Linked DNA regions of Stegostoma tigrinum. The protein of the gene in region 1 purifies or fractionates together with the protein of each later gene. This does not show direct contact. Links are inferred from orthologs where the notes say so. Each region holds a gene or a part of one and is shown on either strand. Other genes may lie near its edges. The genes, in order: fus, sf3b3, ddx42 and heterogeneous nuclear ribonucleoprotein Q.

Region 1 (6,848 bases):
GAAAATGCGATCTGGTAAGTGCACTGTCTCTGGGCACAGGGTGATCTGCTTCCTTTTGTTCGTCTGACCCATTGACGCACAGCATCTGCATTGGAATGGGATGTAGACCGTTCGGCCCGCGGAGTCTGTCCTGCCATCCACTGAGGTCATGGCCGATGTGTGGCGTAACTATACTTGCCATTGGCCTGTATCCCTGAACAAAGATTTATCCATCTCCCATTGAGTACTCACAATGAGTCCAGCATCCACTGCACTTTGTGGAATAGCGTTCCCTCTATTCTGTCTGTCACCTCTTTTTATGTCAGAGCGCATCGTAACGGCTCCTCCTCAGGGATCTGGCCCTCGTTCTCAGAATATGTCGCCCCCCAATCATAGAGGCCTTATGGTGGGAACTCAGGCCATTTGGCCCATCGAGGCCACACCAACCCTCCAAAAGCCTCTCAACCATACCCACTCCCATACTCTACCCGTGTAACACTGTATTCTCACCCTAACCCGCACATCCCTGGGCACTACGGGACAATTTCCCATCGGCCAATCCCACCCTAACCCCCACATCCCTGGGCACTATGGGACAATTTCCCATTGGCCAATCCCACCCTAACCCGCACATCCCTGGGCACTACGGGACAATTTCCCATCTGCCAGTCCCACCCTAACCCCCACATCCCTGGGCACTACCAGACAATTTCCCATCGGCCGATTCCACCCTAACCCCCACATCCCTGGGCACTACGGGACAATTTCCCATCAGCCAATCCCACCCTAACCCGCACATCCCTGGGCACTAAGGGACAATTTCCCATCGGCCAACCCACCCTAACCCGCACATCCCTGGGCACTATGGGACAATTTCCCATCGGTCAATCCCACCCTAACCCGCACATCCCTGGGCACTACGGGACAATTTCCCATCAGCCAATCCCACCCTAACCCGCACATCCCTGGGCACTAAGGGACAATTTCCCATCGGCCAACCCACCCTAACCCGCACATCCCTGGGCACTATGGGACAATTTCCCATCGGCCAATCCCACCCTAACCCGCACATCCCTGGGCACTACGGGACAATTTCCCATCAGCCAATCCCACCCTAACCCGCACATCCCTGGGCACTAAGGGACAATTTCCCATCGGCCAATCCCACCCTAACCCGCACATCCCTGGGCACTATGGGACAATTTCCCACAGCCAATCTGCCCTCACCTGCACACTATGGGGTGGGTTGGCAGTGGAGGGTCGAGGGTGGCGGGAACCATACACAGACAGACATTCGCCCAGGAGTGGGATCGAACCCGGGTCCCTGGCCATGGGAGGCGGCAGTGCTAACCACTGAGCCACTGGGCAGCCCATGGCTCTAGAGTCCGCAGCAAACGGAAATAGTTTATCCTCCCAGTTTTCTCCTGTTGCTATCTTGAAGAGTCCCAGCAGATCGCCCCTTGACCTTCTGAACTCAAGCGAAAAAGGGGTTAAATTTGTGTAACACTCCTCAGAATTCAACCCCTGAAGTCTCAGCCTCAACCTGTTTGAAATAGCTACTGCTCCCCCTGTCTCAACCCTGGGACATAAATGATACACAGTGCTCCACATGTGGCGTGGTCTATACTGTTGGAAAAAGACTTCTGCAGCTTTCAGGCTTTTCGCGATCAAGTGCCACAGGTCCCTCTGCACTGTAGCATTCTGCAGTCTTTCCCCTTTGCTTCATTCCCGGGATCACCCTTCCAAAGGTTCCTTTATCCAGGTTGTTCTTGTATAACGTGAACAGTTGTGTTCCCTGCGGAACTCTAGTCGTCAAGGGCTCACGCCCAGGAAGGAGCAAGGACTGCAGAAGCTGGAGCCGATGAAATGTGGAGCGGGAGGGGCACAGGCGGGCCGAGGAGCAGGAAAGTCAACGTTTCGGCTCAGGACTCCAGCTCCACGTTTTATCTGCCCTTTCCACGCACCTCGCATCATGGGGTCCTGTTCTATCGAGAGCCTCCTGCGTGGCACCTTCTGGAAATCCAAACAGATCACGTCCGCTGGCTCTCTGTCGCCTAACATGCCCGTTACCTCCTCTAAAGGATCCTGACTGCTCTGTGCTGACCAAGCCCTGTTTTAGCATGCACTTTGCACGTACTCCTCAATCACCCCCCCCGACAACAGATCTTACGGATGACCAAGGGCAGGCTGGCCGGCCCATTGTTTCCTGTCTTCTGGTTCCCTCCTTCCTTAAACGGGGGACGTGCGTTGGCCACTTTCCTGCGCTCTGGGACCCCGCCTGAACCCCAGCTATCCCTTCAGCGGGAGAGCCGTGTCAGGACGGTGAAGGAGGCCATTCAGCCCATCTCCCTCTTTCTCAAGCTCCCTTCGCCCACTTAGTCCCAACAAAACAATGTGTGTAAGGGCTTGGCAGCTATGCATATGTTGATAGCCCAACCCTCCAGGAATGGGCATCAGGAATGACCTTGGATAGCTCCTTGACCTCCCGCTTTCCAAACCCCAAAAGGGAGGGGGCAGGGACCAGGTCCAGAGGGGGGAAATCAGGCATTTGCGCGCCAAATTCATTCATAAAAATCCAGTCACGGAACGTGACCTTTCGGTGGCCTACGAGCCCCGCCCACTCCGTGCAACCTCGCTGCGCGTTTGGGTGGGTGTGTGTGCGGAGAGTGGGGAAGGGAAAGGCGGGGTGGTATCCATGGTCATGTGCACATTCAGTCTCACGTCTCTGTTCGACTTGAAACCTTAGAGCGGAAAATTTCGTAGCGGGATTCATGGTCTCCGGCGGGATTAACTTCTTAAAATAGGCTATGAAACGGATACCGTTGACAACACACTGTAGTACTCCCCCAAGGTGTCATGGTCGAGTCTTTCCCTTCCCCCCATTCCCATGCTAGGGGAGCGCTCCTGGAAGTGTTCATCTCGTCCTGAGGGGGTCGTCTTCAGCCGGAAGGACATTTATCTAGCCTAAAATCTCAACTGAACCGAGACTCCAGATTCTCAGAGAGGACAGAAAAGTTCTTGTCAACTGTCTGAGTCAGAGGCTGAGCTGTGGAATGTGTCCGTGGTCATTCTCACGGTGATGAATATCTCGACGTCCTCCCTACCCCACGATGGTAGAGCCCGAGCCGCCGGCTGTACCATTCCCTCGCCTGCGACGGGAAGGGAGATGGTGCAGTCCTTTGTCCATGAAGCGTGAGATCACGTGATCATACATGCTCGGCGCTGACTGTACCAACTCTAGCGAGAGGGGGGAACGGCGGTACTGTGAAATACAGAAAGAGCGAATCCGCCACGGAGACGAACAGTCACCTGCGATTGTTCCGGCGGAATAACCTTACAATTAATCAGTGGACGGATGATGAGAACGAAAATGGACGGAAAACACCCATCGCGGTTTGAGGGTGGCGCCCTCTTTCCCCCCTGTCTCTCCCTTGATGTGTCCCAGGCCCAAGGCCACGCCCCCTCCGTCTAGACCCGGCCCCTCTCGGAGCTGAGACGCTCAGTCGGAGCCGGAGCTCCGAGCGAGAGGAGAGAGCAAAAATGGCGTCCAATGGTAAGGCTGGTGGGTAGGAAGCGGTGTGTGGGCTGAAGGGGAAGAGAGGCAAGAGTGAAAGAAATGTCGTTTTCACGGCCCGCTTTCCTCCGGCGGACGGGAGGGCTGTTATGAACGTGAAAAACGCGGAGGGAGCGACGTTTTGAGCCTCCGTTTATTGTTTTAGGTCGGCCGCCATTTTGTTTACCCCTCCCCCTTTTCCTCGCCGGGCGCCATTTTCTGTTCGTTTTGTCTTAAAATCGATCAGAAAGAAGAATAAGTCGTTCCCAGCGGTTGGGGGAAATGGCCAAGTCTGGGCGTATTAAAACCTTCCCTTTCGCGTTCTAAATGTTGGAGGAGGATGGGTTTTACTTTTGGGGTGGGTGGTGGGCTACGATGAGGAAAGTGCGCAACGTTTTTATTTTAATGGGAGAGGGAAGGCCGCCGCCATTTTGTTCCCGCGGTGTCCCTGTCTCTTATTGTTCGCCATCCAGCGACTTTTCGGCGGGAGGATGCCGTCTCCGTTTTTCTCCCCTCCGGATGTGTTGTGTAGAAATAGGCGGGGCCGGTGTGGGAAGAAACGGTGTTTGGCGTGGCCATCTTTTCGCCGATTGCGCCCGCTAATCCGTTCCTTGTGTTTCCACCCCATCCGCACCGTCGGCTGCATCATCCGACGCCGCGGATGCCTCCCCCGCGCTCTCCCGGCGCCCGTGGCGCTGGCCATCGTTTCGGTTGACGCTCCCCCAGGCAGGATGGCGCTGGATTGTGGCCGCCCCTTCCCCTTGCGTCGTGTTAAGCGCCTCGGCTATGGAGGCTACATCCGGGGTCTTCCCATCCCCGCTACTTTCCTTTCCCTCGCTGGCGCGGTGACGTCATCACGCCGCTGCCTTGTGTGGGGAGGGGGCAAAGGGGCGGGGCTTGGAGTCCCACATCCCCAAGTCCTCCTTAACCCTGGAGTCCCTCTCTTCCACGTACAATCCACTCCGCGCCCTCAAAGCCGATGCCTCCGACAGGGAAGACCCTGAGGAACGGCTTTGTGGTTTCACCGTGCTGTCTCTAGTCCCAAAGTGTCCACCCTTCAAATTGGTAGGCAGCTCCCAGTGGCCGTTTGGGGTTCCCAAAATGAATGGGATTACGAGCTCCTCCATCACACCCCCAAATGAGCCCGCTCTGCTGATCCGGTCTGACATGAAGCCATGAGAGATATGTGGCCACGCCAGTCATCGAATCCTGACAGCATGGACGTGTGCCATTTCTACTGTCAAATTCACACTGACCCTCTCAAGAACTTAATGTCTACCCACCTTTTCCCCCATCCTGCCTAATCTGTCACACTGCACTTCCCACAGCCATAATGCATCTAGCCTGCCCATCCCAAGGACACTGGGCAAGTTAGCATGTCCAATCCATCTGATGTCCATACCTTTGGCCTTGAGGTGGGAAATCAAAGCATGCTGTTGAAGCACATTGGGAGAATGTGTGAAATTTGCACAGGCAGGCATCCCATTGTGCTGCCCCTTCAACCGATCAAGTTTATTTTGCCATTCGATCATGGCTGATGTGTCTCCCTTGTGTATCTTTGTTTTTGCAACCCTAGATCACCTTACTGATCTTGAACGTATCTGTCCCTGTTTGAGACACTCGATGACTTGCCCTCCATAACCTTCTGTGGGAATGAGTTCCACAGATTTGCCACCCTTTGGCTGAAGATTTCCTCCCATCTCAGTTCTAGAGTCATTCCTCTACTCAAGCTATGCTGTTGACTCCGTCGATCCTACCAGTGGTAACTGGTCCAGGATTTGGGCTTCTCTTACAGTGTAGGAACAAAGAAGTCTTGTGTCTTCCCGAAACATTGGTTGGCCATAAATGGGATGTAGTGTGCAGTTTAAGAATGGTTGATTGCACTGGAAAGAGTGCGGTGGAGTTTCGCTAGGATATGAAATGTCTAAAATTATGCGGAGAGACTGAATGGGCTGTTTGAATTCTTTGTACACCAAAGCTCTAAACATCTGGAGCAAGACCTCTTATACCTGTTGCCCTCAGTAACAGATGATCTTGACGCTTTTAGAATCTCTGACCGGTACTTTGTCTTAGGTTCAATCTCTGCTGGCCGCCATTAAGGCTAGATTGGTCTTCAGTTTGTGTTGGTCTGCATTCAGTGCTGTGGCAGGGAGAGCCTCTGCTTGAGGTGAGGTAGGATGAGGTGCAGGAAGGTGGGGAGGTTCTAAGTGAGTGGTCAACGTCACTGAGAAGGTTCAGAAGGCCATGATAGTTCAAAAGGGGTGTCAGTGGTTGCACGTTCTGACTGATGTCGGTCAACTTGACCAACAAAGTGGTGCTAGGAATTTGTAGAGTTTGTCGCGGACAGCCTGCAGGCTGGACCTCAGTGGTAGTAATCTCAGGATTGTGCCCCAACCATTGCGATCTGTTGCAAATTGCAGTTTGGATGTAGGACCTAGTGAAGGATTAGGGCTCTCGCCCCTTGAGTCTGCTTCACTACTTGGGTTCATTTGTGATTATTATTAACCCAGAGACCCAGGTCATGTTTTGGTATCTGTCCACAAAGTGTTGATTGATTGTCAAGAGAAATCTGTCTAATGTTCTTTGTGGAACGAATGTGCCCGGCCTGACCTATGTATGACTGTCAACCCATGGTAAATGCGGTTGATTCTGAATTACTCCTGAGGGTGAAGAGAAATGGGCAAATAAATGCTGACCTAGCCATTGATGCCCTTAATAAATCAGATCCCCGTCTACTTCCTGACAATCTATCTTATGCAGGTATCTAGCTGTTTCTGCCTGAACAAAGCATTTGCAATAACAAAATGTAAAGCTGGATGAACACAGCAGGCCAAGCAGGATCTTTAGAGCACAAAAGCTGACATATCAGGCCTAGACCCTTTGTCAGAAATCTCTTGCTTAAAAAAAATTGAAGGATCCTCCTGTAACTTGTTTCATTTTTCTGTGTTACTGAGAAATTAACTTGGTTTAAAAATTGGTGCAATATGGTTTTCTTCAATTATTTTTAAAAAATTGAAGCCACCTTTTTGTTTCTTTCCTAAAAGCAGATCTTGGGAACTATGGACAGTCGGCTCCTCAGAGGTGAGTCTGTTTGTTGAGTGACTGTTTTGCTGCTTGTGTCTCTTCCTAGCATGTCACCCAACTCGCTCTTTTTTTATTCTTTCTCCCTCACAGCTATGGGGCCTACAACGCCCAGTCCAGCCAGGGGGGCTACTCTCAGCCTCCACCTCAAGGCTACAGCCACCAGGGCTACAGTGGTTACGGCCAGTCGGGGGACTCGTCGGCGTATGGCCAGAGTGGGGGCTACAGCTCGTCC
Region 2 (6,878 bases), on another chromosome or scaffold:
CCACGGTACTTATGTTTTTTGATCTCCAGGCTCGCACTATTAGTCAGTTTATGGGGTGTGACTGTTGGTGTCTTGATTTGGCGGGTGCATGGAAGGCTGGTGTGCATGATGCATGTGTGGTTGTCCATGATTGCAGCAGCAGAGGGAGAGGTGATGGAGGAATCAAAATGAAATTAGTGGAAGCCCAACAACAACTTTATCTTCGGTGGAGCGGAGAGTTCGGGTGGGAAGGATAGGACGGGAATAGCACCTGAGGGATTTGCATGGCAACAGTAGGTGAGTTGGTTATAAAATACCATGATTATTTTCTATAACCTAGCTTTGTAAATCACTGTGTTAAAAATGAAGATTTACCAAATTTTAATGAAAAGTTTCAGGAAATCAATCAAGTGATATCCCACCATTCAAACTTAGACTCAAGAAAGAAGGGTTACTGGACTCGGAAAATTAACAATGTTATTCTTTCTACAGATGCTGCCAGATCTGCTGTGTTTCTCCAACACTTTCTGTTTTTGCTCAAGAAAGAAGCAATTTGTTGACACAAAACTTGAACACCAAACATTTTAAACTGCTTCAGTGATGGACAGTTTTACAGCAAAATGTCAAGAGTGTTTCTTCCTCAAACGAAACTGATTACACCACAAGCCTTTTCAATGTAGGGAAAACAGTTCCTAATTATTATCCGCTACGACTGTAAAAAAATTTGCAAGGCCAGACCAATGTGGTTTTGCACATTTTTTCCCAATGAAAAGTTAAAGAGTTCTGTTGAAGTATTTGGTGTAAGAAAAACTAATGTACTGTTGTAGTAAAGACCACAAATGTTTTTAACAACTTTGATGGTTTAATATGAAACATTTTAAGTATTGAACCACTGCAGCCTATGTGGTGCAAGTGCTTCCACAGTGCTGTCAGGGAGGGAATTCTAATTTAGAGTGCAATTATAATCAACAGATTCAGGAACATATATATCTTTAAATTAATTCCTCTGCTACTTTAAGGAGACATTAAACCATTTATTGAAAACCAGAATGTATGTCCACTCAAATAGTTATTAGGGAAACTGGTTGTGAGTGTTTTAAAATTATTTTATATAAAGGGAGAACCAATTGATGTGATGCATTTGTATTTTCTGTGAATTTTTTATAAGGTCCCTCTTAAGGGGTTAATGGCCAAAATTAAAGCACATTGGATAGGGGTAATTTATTGATGTGGATTGAGAATTGGCTGACAGATAAGAAACAGAGTGAAAATAAAGGGGTATTTTTCCAAGCGGCAGGCAGTAACTAGTGGTGTACTGCAAGCATTGATGCTTGATCAGCTATCTACAGCATGTTGAATGACTGAGAACATTCCCAAATGCAAATTCCCAAATTTGCTAATGACATAAAACTGGGCTGGATTGTGGTTTGTGAGGAAGAAGATGGAGACTTCACTGTGATTTAGACATATTGAATGAATTGGCAAATACATAGCAGGTGTAGTACAATGTGGCTCATTATGAAGTTTTACACTTGTGAAAAACAGAAAGAAAGAGATTTTGGTGGTGATATATTGGGAAGTGTGTGTACAAAGGGATCTGGGTGTCCTCGTATATCGGTTGATGAATGTAGACAGGCAGCTGCAATAGTGAGTAGAAAGGAAAATGGTACAATGCAAGAGGATTTGAATTCAGAAGCAGGATGTCCAACTGCAGTTATACAGACCATTGGTAAAATCATGCCTGCAGTTTTGTATGTAGATTTGGTCTCCCAGCCTAAAAAGGTTTATACTTGCTATAGGATGAGGTTTACTAGGCTGACATCAGGGATTGCCATATGAAGAGAGAGTGGTTCAACTGGGGTTTTAATTCACCAGAGTTTGGAAGGATACAAGATGACCTGATTAAATTGTATACAATTAAAACTGGGCTGAACGGATTGGATCCTTGGTTAGACAGTCAGAACCAGAGGGCATAAACTAAGGATAAAAATGGTGAGCCTGTGAAATTCTCTACCATAAAAGGCTGTGGAGGTCAAATCACTGAACACATTCAAGAAAGAGTTTTTTTTAATTTATTTTAATGGCATCAAGAGGTTTGGGTGGAAATCAAGATGATGGAATTGTGACAGAGGATCAGCCATGATCACGTTGAACGTTGGAGCAGGCTTGAGGGGCTGAATGCCTTCCTGTCCCCTAGTTTCTAGGTTTCTCCAACTTAAGGCTGAAAAGAAATGTCAGCAAGCTCATTGGTTCTGTAATGAACAAACGCCATACCAAACTTCATCTCCAAAGTCAGTGAAGAAACACAAGATTTTTATTATTTCACTGCAAACTAGATGTTTAGGAGAGAAGTGCTGGGTTGGCTCATTTTCACTGCATTTCTCAATGCTACGCTTCTTTGAAGGCATCCTGATGAATGCCTTCGAGTTCTATGTTGGGCAGCCCTTTTAATAAGACAAGGATAAATCACTTTTGATTCCACTAAGCCTTCACGCACAGTAAAAACTAAGATTTAACTTGACAAATGGACTTTCTCCACTATCCCACGATAACCAGCATGAACCTTCCCCATCCATATGATTCCCTTTCAAAATAAATTTCCTCTTTTCTTTTTCTGCTATCTCAGGCTCATGCAGGGATGCAATTTCAGCAGATAGCTCTTGTTTCCTCTGTTTTAGGAACATAGAAATCAGCCATTGGGTCCATTAAGCCTGTTCTGTTATTCAATGGATCATGGGTGATTTTTTTACCTCTGTGCCATTTTACTGTGTCTTGAACATCCTTAATGACTTTTAAGGTGTAAAGAAAAAGAGATTTTAAAAAGACGAGGCAAATGTTTTACACAGAGAGTGGTTTATCTGTGGAATGAACTTCCAGGGGAGGTAGTGGATTGTGGGTACTATCACAACATTTAAAAGACATTTGAATAAGTACATGTATGAGAATGCTTTGGAGAGAAATAGGCCTGGAGCAGGCAGATGGGACTAGTTTAATTTCGGGTTATGTTTGGCATCAACTGGTTGGACTGAAATATCTGTTTCCGTGCTGTATGACTCTATGACTGAGCTTTCTGAGATTCACCAGCTCGGGTGAAAAAAAGCTTCCTCCATCTCAATTCTAAATTGCTTGCCCCTATGTTCGGAATCTGTGTCCATTGGCTGCAGATGCATCTCCTTTTGCAAACTCTGTAAGAATGTATAATGCTTCAATTAAACCGTCTTTCATTCTTCTAAACTCTAGAGGTTACAGGTCCTTTCCTCTCCATCTTTTCTCACAGGTCAATACCATCATCCCAGGAATCATCCGATGAATATTTGTTGTATTTGCCAGTGACAGGTATATCCTTCCTTCAGTAAGGACAGTCCTGAATCAAAAACTAGAGGCGTGTTTTTAAGAGGAGAGGAGAAGCACTTACAAGGGATCTGAGGGGCAACTTTTTTCCCCCCACACATAAGGTGGTTTGTCAGTGAAAATGAACTGCCACTGAAAGTGGTAGATGCAGGTACCGTTGCAACATTTAAAAACACATTTGGACAGGTACATGAAAAGGAAAGGTTTAGAGGTGTGTGGGCCAAATGCAGGCAAGTGGCACTAGTGTAGTTTGGAAAACCTGGTCGTCTTGGTCAAGTTAGACCAAAGGTATGTTTCTTTGCTGCATGTCCTTATGTTGTAGAGTAGGCAACTTAGCGTTCTAGGGCATTGTCTAAACGAGTGCCTGAAAATATGTTATACATCAATCTGTCTTGTAACTGTATTTGTAAAATTGGTTATTAAATAAATATATATTTCAGAGCCGGAGGTCCGGTGTTGTTTGATTCGATTCTTTTCTCGCGGCATACTGCGCATGCACAACTGGGCACAGGCCCCCGAGTTGGCCACCTATTCAGGCAGCAAGGACCCCAGGCCGGGAGCAGCGGGGTTGGTGACATTGAGGAGGATGGAGCCAGCAATCTGACGGGAAATCGGTGGCATCCTGCGTCCTACAGCAGGTAGCGCCGATTTTTTTGACTCCGGGAGCTCGGGCGGTGCTGATTTTACCAATATTGCCTTTCGATGGTTTCCCGTGGTTGTTTTTTGAGCCACGGTGGGCAGGCTGGCTTTCGGGCCTAAAAGAGGCGCGGGTGCAGGCCGTCCTGCTTCATGAAGGCGGGAAGTCGGTGAGGCCTCTTTAAGGAGGGGCAGATAAACTTGAAGCAGCTCCTGCAGTTTGCCGATGGTGGCAGCAATTTCTTTTTAAAACATCCTCTGGTACATTGGTCGCTGCCATGCGCAACCTAGCTAGTCGTGTTAAATCTGAAAAGAGAGGTATAACTGGATCAAAACCTGCCAACGCACAATTAGGGAGCGAAATATTAGTGGAGCTGCAGCCTCGGTTCACTGCGAACTTCATACAACTTATAGGCTTCACTTGTCCACCTCTTGTGCTTAGCATCCTCATTGCTGAAGAAAATGAGAAACACGTGGATTTGCGAAATGTTAGGAAGTGGCTTCTGCTAACCAGGTGCCCATTGTGAGCCATTATCTGCCAGATGCACATCTTAAATGTGGCCATAAAATGGATCTATTACACTTATTTTTCCCAGTCCAAGCCTTTAAATTAGGGAAGGGTGGTTGTGAGTTCGTATGTTCATCCGGTTTCTGCTGTGTCTTGCTGTTCAGCTGGTTGAAGATAACACGAGAGGGAAAATGGTCCTTGGACTGTGGTTGATCCCTGGGGTACAGAGGAGGTCAACATTTAGGTTGTATTTGCAACAGAGTTCTTTCAGTTCGAATTTGGGGATGTTTGCCAAGGAAAAAGTTCTAGGTTGATGGATCTGCTGTTGGAATTAGGGTACTTGAGATTAGTATTGTGGATGCTGAGCTGGCCCCAAGGCCAGACTCTCCTGTCTACCTTTCTGCAGCCCGACTTCCCACTATTTACTTCTGGGGCCCCCTCCCCCGTCTCGACAAAGATTTTCAGCCCAAAATGTTGACTTTCTTGCTCTTCTGGTGCTATCTGACCTGCTGTGTTGTCCGCCTCCATGTTTATTGACTCAGGCTTCCAGCATCTGCAGTCCTTAACGACTCCTCTGCCGTTCATTGTGCGATACCCAACGATCTATTGATTTTTTTTGTTGGATACACTCAGCAACTTGGCATTCAAGTTCTGGGGCAGAGGATTATAAAGATTCTTAGCCCTCAGTGAAGAAATTTCTCTTCATTCTGAGAATGACTTTGTGTTCCAGATTCTACAGCCAGCAGAAATACAGTCTCCCCATCTCCCCTATCAAGGCACTTCTGAATTCTAGTTCTTAATTAGATCATCTCATTATTTTAACCTTTCAGGGATCCGTGCCTATTACTCAAATAAAGCTGTCACCAAGTAATATATTAGATCTCATCATCAATGTCACTACTTGAAGGTTAGAATAGAACAATAGATCTGTTGAAGATGTGGCAGAATTTATGCATTTTTTGCAGTGAAGTGATATTATTATAATATTAATATAAATTATCAATAACTTTTATTGATACAGATTAGTTGTGGCTGGAATAGATTTGTAGAGAGATAAATGTAAAATCAGTACCAAATACAGAATTCCCCTTGATACTTGTAATGGTGTTAACTGTCATGTTTATAGTGTGAGATCTGTGCTTGCATTGTGTTAACTTTAAATTCTCAAAACTGTTAACTTTGTGTGCATTTAATTAAAATTGTGGTCAGAATCCTTAAAGATGTCTGATTTTTCAAAGAGGATAGAATGTAGCAGCTAACTTTCCTCTTTGCACGTGCAGTGAATTTTTTACATTTAACCAAGATGAGCCAGAGTTTTGAATACCTACTGGCATCCCCTAAGTAGACATAGTACGTTTCTTAGCCAAAGATAGTAATAACTGCAGATGCCAAAGTCAAAGATAACACGTTGTGGAGCTGGAAGAACACAGCAGGTCAGGCAGCCGCCGAGGAGCCGGAAAGTTGACGTTTAAGGTCGTTTCTTCATTTTCTGGAGAAGAGTTCTGACCCAAAACGTGAACTTTCCTGCCCCGCTGATGCTGTCCAGCCTGCTGTCTTCCTCCAACTGCACACACTTATTGCCACATTTCTTAATCAGTGCTTTTTTGAGGCTGGCCTGTTTATGTTGACAGATAATGTTGGAATCTGCAAAGCAGTGAGTTTTACTGAGATGCCTATTGTTGTGCGGCTATAATTGTTTCCTCACGAGTTTGGTTTGTAACTAAAATTTTTTGCTTTTTATTTGAGTATATGTTTGGTTGTGTGTCCTTGTTGCATACTTGCTCTTGCCTTCTGGTGGAGTTGGGTATGTGATCTTTGAAATCTGTTTGGTATTTATGGAGTGTCAATTTATTAACCAGTTACAAAGCTGGCAATTCAAATCAGTTTCCCAACCCAAGCTTTCGAGCTGACATTTACTAATCTTGCCTGAATTTGTTTCATGTTTGTATGTTGCTCTATTGCCTTTCTTCCATTCTGTCACCCAGGTGGCCATTTGTCATGTGAGCTTTTGAGAGCCAGCGTGTTGCGTTATCCTGCTGTGTCTGCAACCTGACTTCTTTTTTCAAGCAGGGATAAATTAAATAAGAAGCAGTAGTGTAGAGACGGGTGTATTTTCCTTTTCGTACTCAAGACCACCATTACGCCTCATTTATCGCTCTGGTTGGAGTCAACCAATTTAGAATACGTGCAGCTCTTTGAACTTAATGCCTCAGAGAGCTACAGCTGGAGTTTCGAATCTCTCTTCACCCTGTATTTTTGTGGCGATGGCTTATTTTAGACCTTTTCTAACCTATCGTTACGTTTTAGGGTGGTGTTTTTGTGGGAGAAAGTTGTTCCCAAACCGGGAATTAAGGTGACGTTTTCTTTTCAAAACTGCATGTGTTCGATTTGTAGATTTGCTGTC
Region 3 (7,189 bases), on another chromosome or scaffold:
TGAGTCACTTGGAAACTGGACTGGCATCTGAAGAAAAGAAACATTCAGGGAAAGAGGATAGAGTGGAGGAAAAAAGATCTAACTGAATTGTTGTACAGGAAGCCAACATGGATTCATTGGACTGAACAGTTTCCTTTTATGCTACAATGAACCTGAAAAATTAAAGAGATCTTCACCTCCATAAAGAGGATGTTTTGCTGTTTGAAGGTTGATCACCTTAGCCACAGCAAATCATTAATCATTAACATAACTTCACACAATTGTTGAGCCACATTTCAAAAGTTGAAACACTAATCAAGAAAACTAAGATGCAAGTGATGTGATGCTGCTCCAGTTTCTGAAAGCTAGTGATCAACACCAACTGTATGGCAACTTCATCAGCAGTAAGTGTCCAGAGCTTGAGAAACATCACCTCAGAGTTGATGAGCTAGAGTCCAAATTTAAAACACTGCTATACATAGGGTCATGGTGGTGGTGGTGCGAGATACTGAATCCGTACAATGTGGTAGCCGCATTTGGCCCATTGAATCCACAAATCATCCCGCTCCACCCCTGTAACCAAGCATTTCCCATGGTCACTCCACTTAGCCTGCATATCCCTGGACACAATAGGCAATTTAGCATGGCCAACCCAACTAATCTGCACATCTGTGGACAGTGGCAGGAAACTGCAGCACCTGGAACACATGGGGAGAACGTGCAAACTCCAAGCAGAGATTGGAATCAAACCTAGGTCCCTGGCACTGAAGCAGCATTGTTAACCACTGGGCCATTGTGCTGCCCTATATTTTGAAGAAAAAATGCACACAAAGTGCAGGCTGGGGGGGGGGGGGGGGGGGGGGGGAGAAGAGAAAAAGAAGTTTGAGGGGTCTAATTCAGTATTGTATTCAGAGAGACAGTCACATCCCTGGGGCTAAGTAATTCACATTTTTTTCATAAGATGACGTGCAGCAGTGAGAGATCAGATAGCAATGAATGAGCTACAACCCTGACACATATCCACCCAAGTTCAAGCTTCTTGATACTGTGCTTAAAGAATTATAGGATCCCTACAGTGTGGAAGCAGGCCATTTGGCCCATCGAGTCCACACTGACCTCCTGAAAAACATCCAAACCAGACCCACCCTATCCCTATCCCGTGCGAGGAAGCCAGAGCAAAGGCATGCAGACATGGGGAGAACATACAAACACAGACAGTTCCAAGGGTGGAATCGAACAAAGGTCCTTGGTGCAGCGAGCTAATAATGCTGACCAGTGTTGCTGTGCCACCCCAATAGCCAGGGCTAAATGGAGGATAAGCAAAAGTGACCACTGATACAGGAGCCATTGAATTTGAGAATAAAATGCAATGTTGTGGCCGGGCGTAGAAGACAGTACAGTTGGAGTCTCTTATTTTCTGCATCCCAGAACACAAGTCCCCTGACAGCCTACTCAGTGTCAGAGTTAATGACACCATCTTGGGGTTACAGAATGAGGAACATGGTATGGGAGGAGAGGAAGATGCAATTACTGTACCCCACCAGAGTATCAATATGAAGGAGCAAGAGTAGGTTATTCAATCCATTGTTTTGTAACCACAGTTCTACATTTCTTCCTTTTTTTTGTTCATTCACAAGAGGAGGGCATTGCTGGCTGGGCAGCATTTATTGCCCATACCTAACAGCCCAGAGGTCAGCTGAGTCAACCACATTGCTGTGGGTTGCGTCACACGTAAGCTAAGGATGGCAGGTCCTTCCCTAAAAGGACATTCGTGATTCAGATGGGTTTTTTCCTGACAATTGATGATGGATTCACAGTCATCATTAGATTCTTGTTTCTAGGTATTTATTGAGCTCAAATTCCACCATCTGCCCTGGCAGGATTCGGACCCTGGTCCTCAGAACATTATCTGGGTTTCTGGATTAACAGAGATAATACCACTAGGTCATCGATTCACTCCAATCTTCTACCCGTTATCAAGAATCTATCGACGTCTGCTTTAAAAAATACAAGAGATTCTGCTACCACATTTTCAAAAGAGTTCTAAAGAACCTGAAACCTCAGATTATTTTAAACGGGTGACGTCTGAGCTTTAAACAGTAACCCCTAGTTCTTAACTCTAATAAAAGAATGCACACCAGCTCTATACTTACTGAGTCAAGACCTCTCAAAGTCTTATGTTTTAAATCAAGATCACCCCCCCACCCCGCTCTTCAGAACTCCACCATAAATAAACCTAGACTGTCCAACTTTTGCTTAAATGACAATCCACTCAATTCAGCTATTTGTCTGGTAAGTCTCCAAACTGACTAGAAAGCATTTACATGCTTCTGTAAATGAAGTGACGAACACAGTACACAGAATGCTAGATATGCATTCACAATTTTTGTAGTTAAATCCTCTTGCATTAAACAGTAACATTCTATAAGTTACCCTAATTAACTGCTGTACCCGCATTCTAAACTTTTTCAATTAGTGTACTAGCAGACACCCAGATCTTTTTGCATCTCTGGCCTCTGCAGTGTCTCACCGTTTAGATGAGTTGTCTTTTTGTTTTAAAATCCTTCCTGTTAAGATAGACATTTTTCTCATTTTCCCCATATTATACTTCACCTGGCCATTCACGTAATCTACCTGCATCATTTTGCAGTCTCCTTGTTATGTCACTTTCTCACATATACGTGCATAACAGCAAATTTGGCAACAGTCCATCCCTTCATCCTAGTCACTTCTATTAATTGTACAGTTGAGGTCCAAGCACCAGCCCATTAGTCGTTCCATACTGCCAAACTGAAAGAGACCCTACGTTCTGCTTCCAGTTATCCAGTCAAAGTTCTGACCATGACAATAAGCTAGCAATTACACCATGAGCTTTCATTTTCCACAATAACCTTTCACAATTTCCATCTGGAAATCAAGTTCAGTTTTTTACGTGTTCCCCTCCATCCACAGCACATTACTTCCTCAAACATGACCTCCCTTTTGCAAAACCATCCTGACTCTGCCCGATTAACTTGATTTAATGTAAATGCTACATAGCAACTTTTTCCAATGACCATTTTTTGAAATACTTCCCCTCAGACAGAATTTACAGGGAGCACTGTTTTATTAGATACTATCAATTCATTCAGGTTTTTATAGTGCAATTCAATCTAACTAATCAAGGGTAAACCAACTTTTCAAAACACAGTAAGAAGTCCATGCCAGGCTCATCAAACACATAGGTGTTCATTAATACCTAGCAACAATTCATTGATTATTTAACACATTTGCTCTTTTTAGGGCGTCCACATACACGATAGCTTGCACAGCTCACTACACTTCAAGAAAGGAAAAGAATGGCATAAAGACATTTTTGAATCTCATAAAACATGAAAACAGGCTCCTAGCCCTCCTCTGGCACGGCGCTCCCACAGCGCTGATTTGAGTTGAGCTGAGCAGTGTAAAGAGTTTTTGTCGTTTTCTGACAGTCAGCCCTGGCCGCAGGTTAATGCTGCAGAGTCAGACTGTTTGGTCAATATAGCCCGCATATAAAAACCAAAAGAACTGTGGATTCTGTACATCAGGAACAAAAACAAAGTTGCTGAAAAAGCTCAGCGAGTCTGGCAGCATCAGTGAAGAAGAAGAGTTAACGTTTCGGGTCCGGTGACCTTTCCTCAGAACCGCATACATGTGGCTCTATCTCTGCAACCCCACGGGCCAAGCCGAGTCAACTCAATCTTGTCCCTGTACTCACCTCAATTCGTGAGCCCGCCGCTGCCGTCTCCCGTTTCTTCACGGCTACCCGCCACCTGCGGAAATCCCGCCTTCTATCACTATTTCGATTGGCACCGAACCCATGATTGACATGTCCGGTACCACAGGTCCCTATCTCTGATTGGATTAGTGCTCTGTCAATCGCCACCCTTCGGCAAATAAGGTCAGAGTTCACCGGCCACGGCTTGGTCCTAGACATCGCCAGACCACGGACCTGAACTCTTTTCGTATTTTGAAATTTTCTGTCAGTCAGAAATTATTTTTCCTTCATCTTTATTTTCTCCCGGCCTCTTTTGCGGTTTCCAGCGTCATTTCCGAAAACAAAAGTAACCGGAAAACCGCGTTACCCCTTGACCTAGTGACGTCAGGCAGTTTGATTAAAAGAAGTTTCGTAAGTGGCACTGTGCGATCTCCAAATACAGAATTTATAAGTTTCCCTCCACTGCCCGGCAATTTCTGAGAGAAATGAATGGAAAATAATCAGTTTTTTAAAAAAGTGAAATGTGTGAGGTGGGGGAAAGAAGAGGCGAGGGGTGCGCATGCGTGGGGAGCTGCGGCTCGGTGGTGGCGACGACGTTCGAGGATTTTCTCCATTTCCTTGGGCCGGGTGGCGCCTGCAGCCGAGGGCAGACAAAGGGTCGGGCTGTTGTCACAAGGTGTGTAACTGCCAAGTGCTCGTCCTCCCTAGTGTAGGCTCCTGGGGCCTCGATTTGGACCCTCCGCTCGATCTGGGCCTTCTCCCCGTCCCGGGTGGTGTTTACAACACTGCGAACACGAGCAATTAAATCTAAGCAGTATACCTGCACCGTTTACCTGTCCTGCTTAAATACCGAGCACCGGCAGGTACCTAGAGCTGGCCAAGCGAGTTAATATTACAATCGTGACAGGCCTAACGAGGGGGAATCCGCGGAAGAATTTGGATCGGAGACTCCTTCGAACGCATTTCTCAGATAGAAAGTAGGAGCAAGTGAAAGCCATTTAGTTCTTCGAGTATGATCCGCCATTCAATATGATCGTGGCTGATCATCAACTCAGTAGCCCCTTCTCGCTTTCTCCTCATACCCTCGAATCCGTTTAGCCCTAAGAACTATGTCGAACTCCTTGAAGAGATGGTGTTTTTCTGTTAATTATTTTCTATGGCAGAATTCCATAAGTTCACCACTCGGGTGGGAAAAGGCATTTCTGTTCAGTCTTATGGCTGGCCTCTAGTTCTGGACTTCCCCCGTCAACAAGAACACCCTGCATTTGTTCCATCTAATCCTCTTAAACTTTTATAGACTTCCATAAGATCTCTTCACATTCTCAATCTCTAGTTTATACGGTTCTATCTGCATCCCACGAATCAATCTGGTAAACATTTCCTGTGCTCGTTCCTAAGACATAGCATCTTTCCTTAAATAATCAAATGAAAACTCTACACAATACCTCAATTATGGCCTTAAAATGCACCAGGACAGCCCTGCTTTTGTAGTCATATTGCCTTGCTATGAAGGCCAACCTTTGCTTTCTTCACTGCCAACTGCACCAGCATGCATACTTACAGCAATTAGTGTGCAACGTCTCCAAGTTTCAGTGCACTTCTCCCCTTCCCCAATTTATCACCATTCTGATAATCATCCTTGTTTTTGCTACCAAAGTGGATAACCTCACGTTTATTCATATTCCAATTTATCTGCCATACATTGCCCCACTCTCTCAAACTGTCCAAATCAAACCATAGCATCTCTCTTCCTCCCAGCAATTCCCTCAGTTTTGTATAATCTACAAACTTCCCTAATCTAAACCATTAATATATATTATGAACAGCTGGGATGCAGGCACTGATCCCTGTTGAACCCTATTGGTCAATAGTTTTCCCTCATAAAATGACCTGTTCATTCCTATTTTGTTTCCTGTCTGCCAATCAGTTCAATATCTATGTCAGTGCACTAATCCCAATCCCATGTTGTTTCCTTTTATATTGGACCTTACCAAACACTGGCTCTCCTCAACAATTCTACTAGTAAGGTCCTTGAAAAATTCCAGTAGGTTTGTCAAGCACGATTTCCCATTAGTAAATCCATGCTGACGTTGCCCAATCATGCCACTTTTTTTTCCCAAGTACTGCACTATTAAATATATAATAAAGACACAAGCATTTTCCCTGCTCCCAATGTCAGGCAAACTGGTCTATAATTCCCTCTTTTCCCTGAAAGGCTTTGATCTGAAATGTTAATGATTCTTCTCAGGTGTTGTCTGTTTGCTAGTTACCTTGTTAACAGACTGGCAGAGGTGTAATTTTGACTTCCAAATATTTTACTAACCATATTAAAAATTTTTGTGTGGTGGCCAAGGGACTGTCTCAAAGTTGAAATCTATTTGAGCTGTTTCTGCATTGTGAATTATAGGCCTGGTTGAGAGTGCTGTTTTATTTAAGCTTTCCCAGGTACAGCTGTACTACTAAAGCAGATTATTTAAGAGTCCAGATATTATGATAGCAAGTAGGGAGGGTCTTGGGTGAGTCTATCTTTCTCGATGACAACTGCTGTTGAACAATATTGACCGGAGTAAAGAGTGTCCTGAGAATTGTCCCTTTTGTCAGTATTACTGTTGAATGTGTTCATTGAAAATGCCCACAATCCTGCAATTGGTCAGCACAGTGGCTGAATGGTGAGCACTGCTGCCTCACAGCACCACGGACCCAGAGATAATGGGAACTGCAGATGCTGGAGAATTCCAAGATGATAAAATGTGAGGCTGGATGAACACAGCAGGCCAAGCAGCATCTCAGGAGCACAAAAGCTGACGTTTCGGGCCTAGACCCTTCATCAGAGAGCGGGATGGGGAGAGGGAACTGGAATAAATAGGAAGAGAGGGGGAGGCGGACTGAAGATGGAGAGAAAAGAAGATAGGTGGAGAGAGTATAGGTGGGGAGGTAGGGAGGGGATAGGTCAGTCCAGGGAAGACGGACAGGTCAAGGAGGTGGGATGAGGTTAGTAGGTAGATGGGGGTGCGGCTTGGGGTGGGAGGAAGGGATGGGTGAGAGGAAGAACAGGTTAGGGAGGCAGAGACAGGTTGGACTGGTTTTGGGATGCAGTGGGTGGGGGGGGGAAGAGCTGGGCTGGTTGTGTGGGTGAGAGGAAGAACAGGTTAGGGAGGCAGAGACAGGTTGGACTGGTTTTGGGATGCAGTGGGTGGGGGGGGGGAAGAGCTGGGCTGGTTGTGTGGTGCAGTGGGGGGAGGGGACGAACTGGGCTGGTTTAGGGATGCTGTAGGGGAAGGGGAGATTTTGAAACTGGTGAAGTCCACATTGATACCATTAGGCTGCAGGGTTCCCAGGCGGAATATGAGTTGCTGTTCATGCAACTTTCGGGTGGCATCATTGTGGCACTGCAGGAGGCCCATGATGGACATGTCATCTAGAGAATGGGAGGGGGAGTGGAAATGGTTTGCGACTGGGAGGTGCAGTTGTTTG
Region 4 (6,934 bases), on another chromosome or scaffold:
GGGGAAAGACCACGGTATGAAACCCCTCGTCCAGAATAGAAAAAAGGGCTCTATCTGGTAACTGGGCCCAGCTGGCGCCTTCCCCAACTGGTCAGGGGGCCAACTGGGACTGTGCAGGGTGACGACTGCCGGGGTGTTTTTCTTTTCTTTGTTTTTTTTTCTTCTTTGTTTGTTTTTTTTGGTTTTTTTTTCTTCTTTGTTTGTTTTTTTCCTTTAGTTGATGTGTGTACCCCCTGGGTAACCCGGAGCAGCTTGCATGACTGAGTAGGTGTATAAATATGTTTTATTTTTTGTACATCTTATGAATAAAGTACATTTTTTCAAATAAAAAAAGGTGACGAAATGTCTGAAAACTAACCTTCCAGCTCAGCGAGCAAACTCCCATCCATGCAAGTAATGTCGTCAAAGAATTCCACCAAATCAGTTGAACATGACCTACCCTTCGTGAACCCATGCTAGGTATTCCCACTGGGAGAATTTCTATCTAGATGTCTTGCTATTTCTTCCTTAATGATGGATTCAAGCATTTTCCCCACTACCGAAATTAAATTAACTGGCCTATAGTTACTCGTCTTTTGTCTACTTCCTTTTTTAAACAGTGGCGTCACATTGGCTGTTTTCCAATCTGTGGGAACAACCCCAGAGTCCAGTGAATTTTGGAACATAGTTACTAGTGCATTTGCTATTTTCCCCATCACCTCTTTTTGTACCCTAGGATGCATTTCATCAGGGCCAGAAGACTTGTCTACCTTTAGCCCTATTATCTTGCCCAGCACTGCCTATTTAGTGATAATGATAGTTTCTATGTCCTCACCTGCTATAACCTTCTTGCGATCAGTTTTTGGTATGTTATTTGTGTCTTCCACTGTGCAGACCGACACAAAGTAACTGTTTAATGCCTTGGCTATTTCCTCATTCCCAGTTATTAAATTGGCCTTCTCATCCTCTTAAGGACCAATGTTTACCTTGTCACTTTTTTCCAATTTACATATTTATAGAAAACTCTGCTGCCTGATTTTATATTTTTTGAGCTAATTTACTCTCATAATCTATCTTACTTTTCTTTAACTTTTTTCTGGTTTTCTGATAGCCTTTTAAAGATTTCCCAGTCTACCAGTTTCCCACTAATCTTTGCTTTTTTTTGTATGCATTTTTAAAAAATATGATACTTTCCTTTATTTCCTTAGACATCCATGGCTGACTATTTCTTTTCCTACAGTTCTTCCTTATCATTGGAATATACTTCCGCTGAGCACTGTGAAAAATTGTTTTGGAAGTCCTCCACTGTTCCTGAAATGACACACCATAAAGTTTTTGCACCCATTCTACCTTAGCTAACTCCTCCCTCATCCCATCATAGTCTCCTTTGTTTAAGCACAGAACATTGGTACTGGATTTATGCTTCATGCTCCATCTGTATTTTAAATTTGACCATACTATGATCGCTCGTTCTGAGAGGATCCCTAACTTTGAGATCATTAATTGTTCCTGTCTCATTACACAGGACTAGATCTAGGATAGCTTGCTCCTTTGTAGGTTCCATTACGTATTGTTCAAGGGATGCATTCTATGAATCCCTCGTCAAGGCTGCCATGACCGACCTGGTTTGGCTAATCGATATGTAGATTAAAATCCCCCATGATGATTGCTGTACCATTTTTACATGCATTAGCTATTTCTATGTTTATTGCCTGTACCACAATGATGTCATTATTTGGAGGCCTATAGATCACACCTATCAGTGACTTCTTCTCCCTGCTATTCCTAATTTCCAGCTGAATCGATTCAACTTCTTGTTCAGGAGAACCTATATCATCTCTCTCTACCACCGTGATATAATCCTTAAAAATCAGAGAAACACCGCCTCCCTTACCTTCCTGTCTGTCCTTCCGAACAGTTTGATACCCCTGGATATTTAACTCGCAGTCATGACCATCCTGCAACCATGTCTCTGTAATGGCCACTAAATCATACCTATTTGCCATGATTTGTGCCCTCAACTCATCCACTTTGTTTCGAATACCCCAAGCATTCAGATAAAGTGCCCTTATGCCAGCTTTTGCACCTTCTTTCTCAGTCCAATCACCTCCATTACTAACAGCTGTTGAGTTCTCCTTCCCATTACCTTTTTTCCTAATTTTCAATGGAGTTGAAGCTTCCTTGTCACCCGCTAACCTGCTGTTTTGCCTTGCATTAATTGTTATACTCCCTGTACGCTTACTCCTCCCTTCTCCCTCCCCGCTTACTAGTTTATTGACCACCCTATTTACCCTTTTCGCTAGAACACTGGACCCGGCCCTGTTCAGGCGGAATCCATCCCAGCGGTGTAGATCCCTCCTGTTCCAGAACTGATGCCAGTGCCCCACGTGTACACTTCCCTGATCCTCACCTCCCTATGTCAATTTGCACGTGGCTCGAGCAGCAATCCAGAGAGCATGACCCTTGAAGACCTTTTTTTAAAATTTTGTTCCTAGCTTTTCATAATTCCTAAACAGGTCTTTTCACCTCATCCGGCCTATGTTGTTGGTACCGATGTGGACCACAACAACTAGATCCTTCCCCTCCCTCTCTAGTATCCTTTCAAGCTGGTTGGAGATGTCTCACACCCTGATACTATGCAGGCAATACACCATGCAGGATTCTCTATCCTGTTTACTGAGGATACTGTCTTTCCCCCAATGATGGAATCCCCTACAACTATGATCTGTCTCTCAGCTCCCCCCTCTTGAATGGCCTCCTGGACCATGGAGTCTTGGTCAGTTGCCTCATCCACGGGTGCAAGTGCCTCATACCTGTGGGACAATGTCAGAGGTTGTTGTGCCTGTGTTCCTCTCGGCAGGGTCCCTCTACCTTCCTCACTCGCAGTCACACACTGCTGTCCCTGCCTGCCAATTGAATTAACATTAGTTAATCTACTAGGTGTGACTGCCTCCTGGAACAGAGCATCCAAGTATCTCGCCCCCCCCTCCCGGATGTGCCGCAGTGTTTGGAGTTCAGAGTCTAGCTCATCAATTTTGAGCCAGAGGTCAAACAGTCAATACTTGCTGCAGATGTGGTCACTGCTGTTCTCGATGGGATCAGCTAGTTCTTCTCACATCATGCAGCTGCAACACATGATCTGACCTGCCACCTCTACCTAGTTAATTGTTTAAAATTAATTAGTTTTTTTAGTTTTGCAGTATTCTCTGCACCAGTAAGTTTACTGTTATGCACTTAAACAGACTCCGGCTTTGCCTTCCAGACTGCTCCTAGAGGATTTGGCACCCAGGTGACCTCTTGGAAAGGAAACAAAGAGATGAGGGAAAACATGCAAATAGGATGAGGGGGAATCTGATTGAAACTTACAGGATACTGAGATACCTCGATCGAGTGGATGTGGAGAAGATGTTTGTATTAGTTGGAGAGACTGGGACCCAAGGGCAAAGCCTCAGAATGAATGGACAACCTTTTAGACCTGAGATGAGGAAGAATTTATTCTGCCCAGGGTGGTGAATCTGTGAAACTCATTGATGCAGAAGGCTGTTGGGTCCTATCAATGAGTCAATTTAAGATACACATTGGTTCTTGATTAGAATAGGGATCAAGGTTTACAAGGAGAAAGCTGGAGAATGAGTTTAAGAAACATATCAGCATGATCGAATGACGGAGCAAACTCGATGAGCTGAATGATCTAATTCTGCTCCGAAATCATACGATCTTATGGGCCGGATGGTTTCATTCTATAGTCGTACAACCCTATGATTGGTCTTCGCGAGGGTGCCTCACAAAATCTCTGCATTGATATCTGATCTAAAAGATTAAATAGGAATGGCACTGGCTTTATCCTTTACGAAGAAAAGATTCAACGGTTTGCAGCTCGATATGAGCCGGGGCTTTTCCACTCCGTGATCATGCATTCCTTGGAGCCCTGTCATTCATCTTTGGGGGCGTGGTCACCAGCTGTTTGTACCCAATGGAAAAGATGAGGGAGCGGGACCTGACGTTGGGGCCGCGCCCACCATTGATGATGTCCTTGCGGGGCAGGTCGGGAGACCCCACCATGAGAACGCGTGAGTGGAACTTGGGGGCTTTGGGAGGTGTGTGCCGTGCCGCCATTTTGTAGGTCGGTGTGTGAGAGAACGGAAAGGGGAAGGTAGAGTAATTCAACTGACAGGGAGGGATTTGGGGAGTATCAGCCGGCATCACATCTACTTGACTTTGCTGGCATAGAGCAGCATGTGAGTTGGTGTTGTCCCTGGTTGTAACTCGGGGTGGGAGGGGGCTGGTACCGTGCCCGAAAATCGAGCAGTGTCAGCGAATCCATGGGCCGCAGGCAGACCCGGAGCCTCACTCTGGGTAGGCGTGGGCCGGGGCCTGGACACTGAGACCTCTGCTGTACTGAATGAGCAGAGTGTGTACTCCGTAAATCGAAGGGGTGGAGTTTTTAGCTCCGGGATTCGAGGCCGGACTGTAGCCTTTGTCTATGTCACATGGCTGCGGGATGGCAGGGGAAAGCTGGAACGAGACAGGACCGCGTTGACTTCCTTTATTTTCCCCCGTCTCTCCGATCTGACCTTCCCCCTCCGTGGCCCTGACTACTTTGGAGTGGTGTCGGTGAATCCCTTTCCCAGTTACTGGACGGAGTGTTAGTTGGCCGGCACTTCCCGCTGTTGCCGCATCCCAGACATATGTTCGTGAACCGGTATTCGCTATCGTGCTCCATTCGAGGAGGCGAAAAGGCTTGTTTTATCATTTGTCATTTATCTTTGAACTGGAGTCTATTACTAATGCAAGCTCGCTGGCTGGGCTGGGAACGATGACTAAAGCTGAGATCACTGCAAACGGATCTGGCAATATGATTCCTAGCCAGCTTGGTCATGTCTAGTCCTTTTCCGCTCTAAATGTTTTAATAATTTTAGGACTGTCAATTTAGGGCTATCAATTTCTAAGACATTACCGCGCCTATTTTTGCTTTCATTTATGTGTACACGTGTACAGATGTCTACTGAAGAAATGGCTACCGAGCATATGAATGGAAATGGTACGGAAGAGCCGATGGATACTTCCACTGCCGTTGTTCGATCTGAACACTATCAAACTTTATTAAGTGCTGGTTTACCAAAGAAAGTTGCGGACAAGCTAGATGAGATGTATTTAGCAGGTATGGTTGCAAACTGCATGAGTACTCTGTACTAAAACTTATCTTGCTATCAATTTGTTACCTGTTTCAGTTTGATACGTTCTTGTGTCCATTTTGTGTTGATTATGCAATTTCAATTCCATTAAAAATATGGGGATACGTCAAGGAAAGAACACTGCTGGCATTCTCGTGGAATACAGGGGGTGGCTTGGACTGACTCATCCTGCAAGTGATCTTCATCTATTTATAGACAAAGGAAATATGTATGCAAGAATAAGGTGACAAGATCAGTAAAACAACTATCTTTTTGTTGCGTTAATCTCAGAGCCAGCGTTCACGTAGAGAACAAAATGGATAGTTTTCTTGAAAGGTTGAAATTCACCATATTGTCATGCAGGCACTGGCATTGCCCAGTGTTACATTTAAGCCTGCAGAGACGGATCATGATTTGCTTCCTTTGAGTTGTTTGGTTTCTGCTAGAGCCTGCTGAGTCATAAGTTAACTTCAACCTCTTAAATCACAGCAGAAAAGAACTGTGTCTTGTTCTTATTGCCGTTCTGACTGTTTTATTATTTAGTCTGAAGATGTTTAGAGAATGTGAACCATGCTAATCTTGATGTCCCACTATGCTTCATAGACAATAAAATACTTCTGTACTGTAGTCATTATTGAAGTATAGGCAGATTTAAACCCACCAGTCTTTTTTCCATTTAACAAGAAACTTGTTAAAACAAATCATGCAGTAATATTAGAGAAGGGTCTAGGCCCGAAACGTCAACCTTGCTGCTCCTGTGCTGCTTGGCCTGCTGTGCATCCAGCTCAACATCTTATCATTGCAATAATGTTAATTGAGATTACAGTTGGCTAGGAGAGTGTCTGCTGTTCAACAGGTTCATGGGATCATCAACACCCACTGAGGGGTTATTTCTGATAGATTAGTTGCCTGACATACGGCCTAGATTTTGTTGCTCAATTCTTATCTCCATATTTTTAGCAGCATCTAGTGGTAAGAGCTCTAAGTTGTTTTTCATCTAGTTAACTCCATGAATAAAATTTAAATACAAAAGGTTCCTTTCCCTTCATCTTTGAATATCATAGACCTGTTATTTTGCTTCTTCCAGGAAAGTTTGTTGAAGAAATATTGCCTTTGAGCCTTCAGCTATAGGTTATTCTGAAATTGGTGGGAAATGTCCTTCACTACTCTGCTTGAAAAACTGCCTAACCTAATGCTGGATATTGGAATCCCCTGAAGTTTCTTAAAATTACTTATGTCTGTCCTGTCTCTTCTGTTATTGGTGAAACTTATTACTGCTGATTTGCCAACTCCACTCTAATCGCCTGAAGGCCTCCATGTTAATTGATGAGTTCTATCCCTCAATAGTACTCCCTCTTACTTAAAATTTTCCATCACCCTAACCTTTTTTAAAAAAATTGACTTGACTGCCCTTGCAAACTTCCAGCTCAACTCCAACCTGCCTTTCTTATCAAAACCCTCCAGATTCATTGCCACCTCCCATATCTGTTCTTGAATTCCCAAACCTTTTGCTTGAATCCTTCCACTCAGGCTTCTGTTCATGCAGTAGTGCCAAAAGGCTCTTACTAAAGTCACAAATTGGTTTCTGAGTGGCTGTGATGATGGTAAACTTTCCTCCTTCATCCTCATTGCCCTGGTCTACATCTTTATTTGGTTGTACAATTGCTATACCACCTCCACTGTCATTCTGCTAAGTGGGACTGTTCTCATGCCAAATCACTTGCACTATCTTCTTGTCCCAGCACCATAACCTCTGGTGTCTCCCCAGGATCTATCTTTAT

The links.
Region 2: the proteins of fus (region 1) and sf3b3 purify together in Homo sapiens (affinity purification with mass spectrometry; 3 studies listed by BioGRID and IntAct, with this or other methods). This does not show direct contact. The link is inferred for Stegostoma tigrinum from reciprocal best matches to the Homo sapiens genes FUS and SF3B3.
Region 3: the proteins of fus (region 1) and ddx42 purify together in Homo sapiens (affinity purification with mass spectrometry; 3 studies listed by BioGRID and IntAct, with this or other methods). This does not show direct contact. The link is inferred for Stegostoma tigrinum from reciprocal best matches to the Homo sapiens genes FUS and DDX42.
Region 4: the proteins of fus (region 1) and heterogeneous nuclear ribonucleoprotein Q purify together in Homo sapiens (affinity purification with mass spectrometry; 3 studies listed by BioGRID and IntAct, with this or other methods). This does not show direct contact. The link is inferred for Stegostoma tigrinum from reciprocal best matches to the Homo sapiens genes FUS and SYNCRIP.

What each region holds. Positions count from the first base shown.
Region 1 is NC_081403.1:1,175,604-1,182,451, reverse strand, and holds the start of fus (RNA-binding protein FUS), read left to right. Parts: upstream 1-3,844; 5' UTR 3,845-3,859; coding exon 3,860-3,890; intron 3,891-6,576; coding exon of another isoform or gene 6,577-6,579; coding exon 6,580-6,613; intron 6,614-6,706; coding exon 6,707-6,848. UniProt on the Homo sapiens protein: DNA/RNA-binding protein that plays a role in various cellular processes such as transcription regulation, RNA splicing, RNA transport, DNA repair and damage response. Binds to ssRNA containing the consensus sequence 5'-AGGUAA-3'.
Region 2 is NC_081369.1:5,608,540-5,615,417, forward strand, and holds the start of sf3b3 (splicing factor 3B subunit 3), read left to right. Parts: upstream 1-3,859; 5' UTR 3,860-3,968; intron 3,969-6,878. UniProt on the Homo sapiens protein: Component of the 17S U2 SnRNP complex of the spliceosome, a large ribonucleoprotein complex that removes introns from transcribed pre-mRNAs.
Region 3 is NC_081384.1:40,117,827-40,125,015, reverse strand, and holds the start of ddx42 (ATP-dependent RNA helicase DDX42), read left to right. Parts: upstream 1-4,162; 5' UTR 4,163-4,391; intron 4,392-7,189. UniProt on the Homo sapiens protein: ATP-dependent RNA helicase that binds to partially double-stranded RNAs (dsRNAs) in order to unwind RNA secondary structures. Unwinding is promoted in the presence of single-strand binding proteins.
Region 4 is NC_081362.1:29,838,119-29,845,052, reverse strand, and holds the start of heterogeneous nuclear ribonucleoprotein Q, read left to right. Parts: upstream 1-3,934; 5' UTR 3,935-4,049; exon of another isoform or gene 4,050-4,217; intron 4,218-4,977; coding exon 4,978-5,140; intron 5,141-6,934. UniProt on the Homo sapiens protein: Heterogenous nuclear ribonucleoprotein (hnRNP) implicated in mRNA processing mechanisms. Component of the CRD-mediated complex that promotes MYC mRNA stability.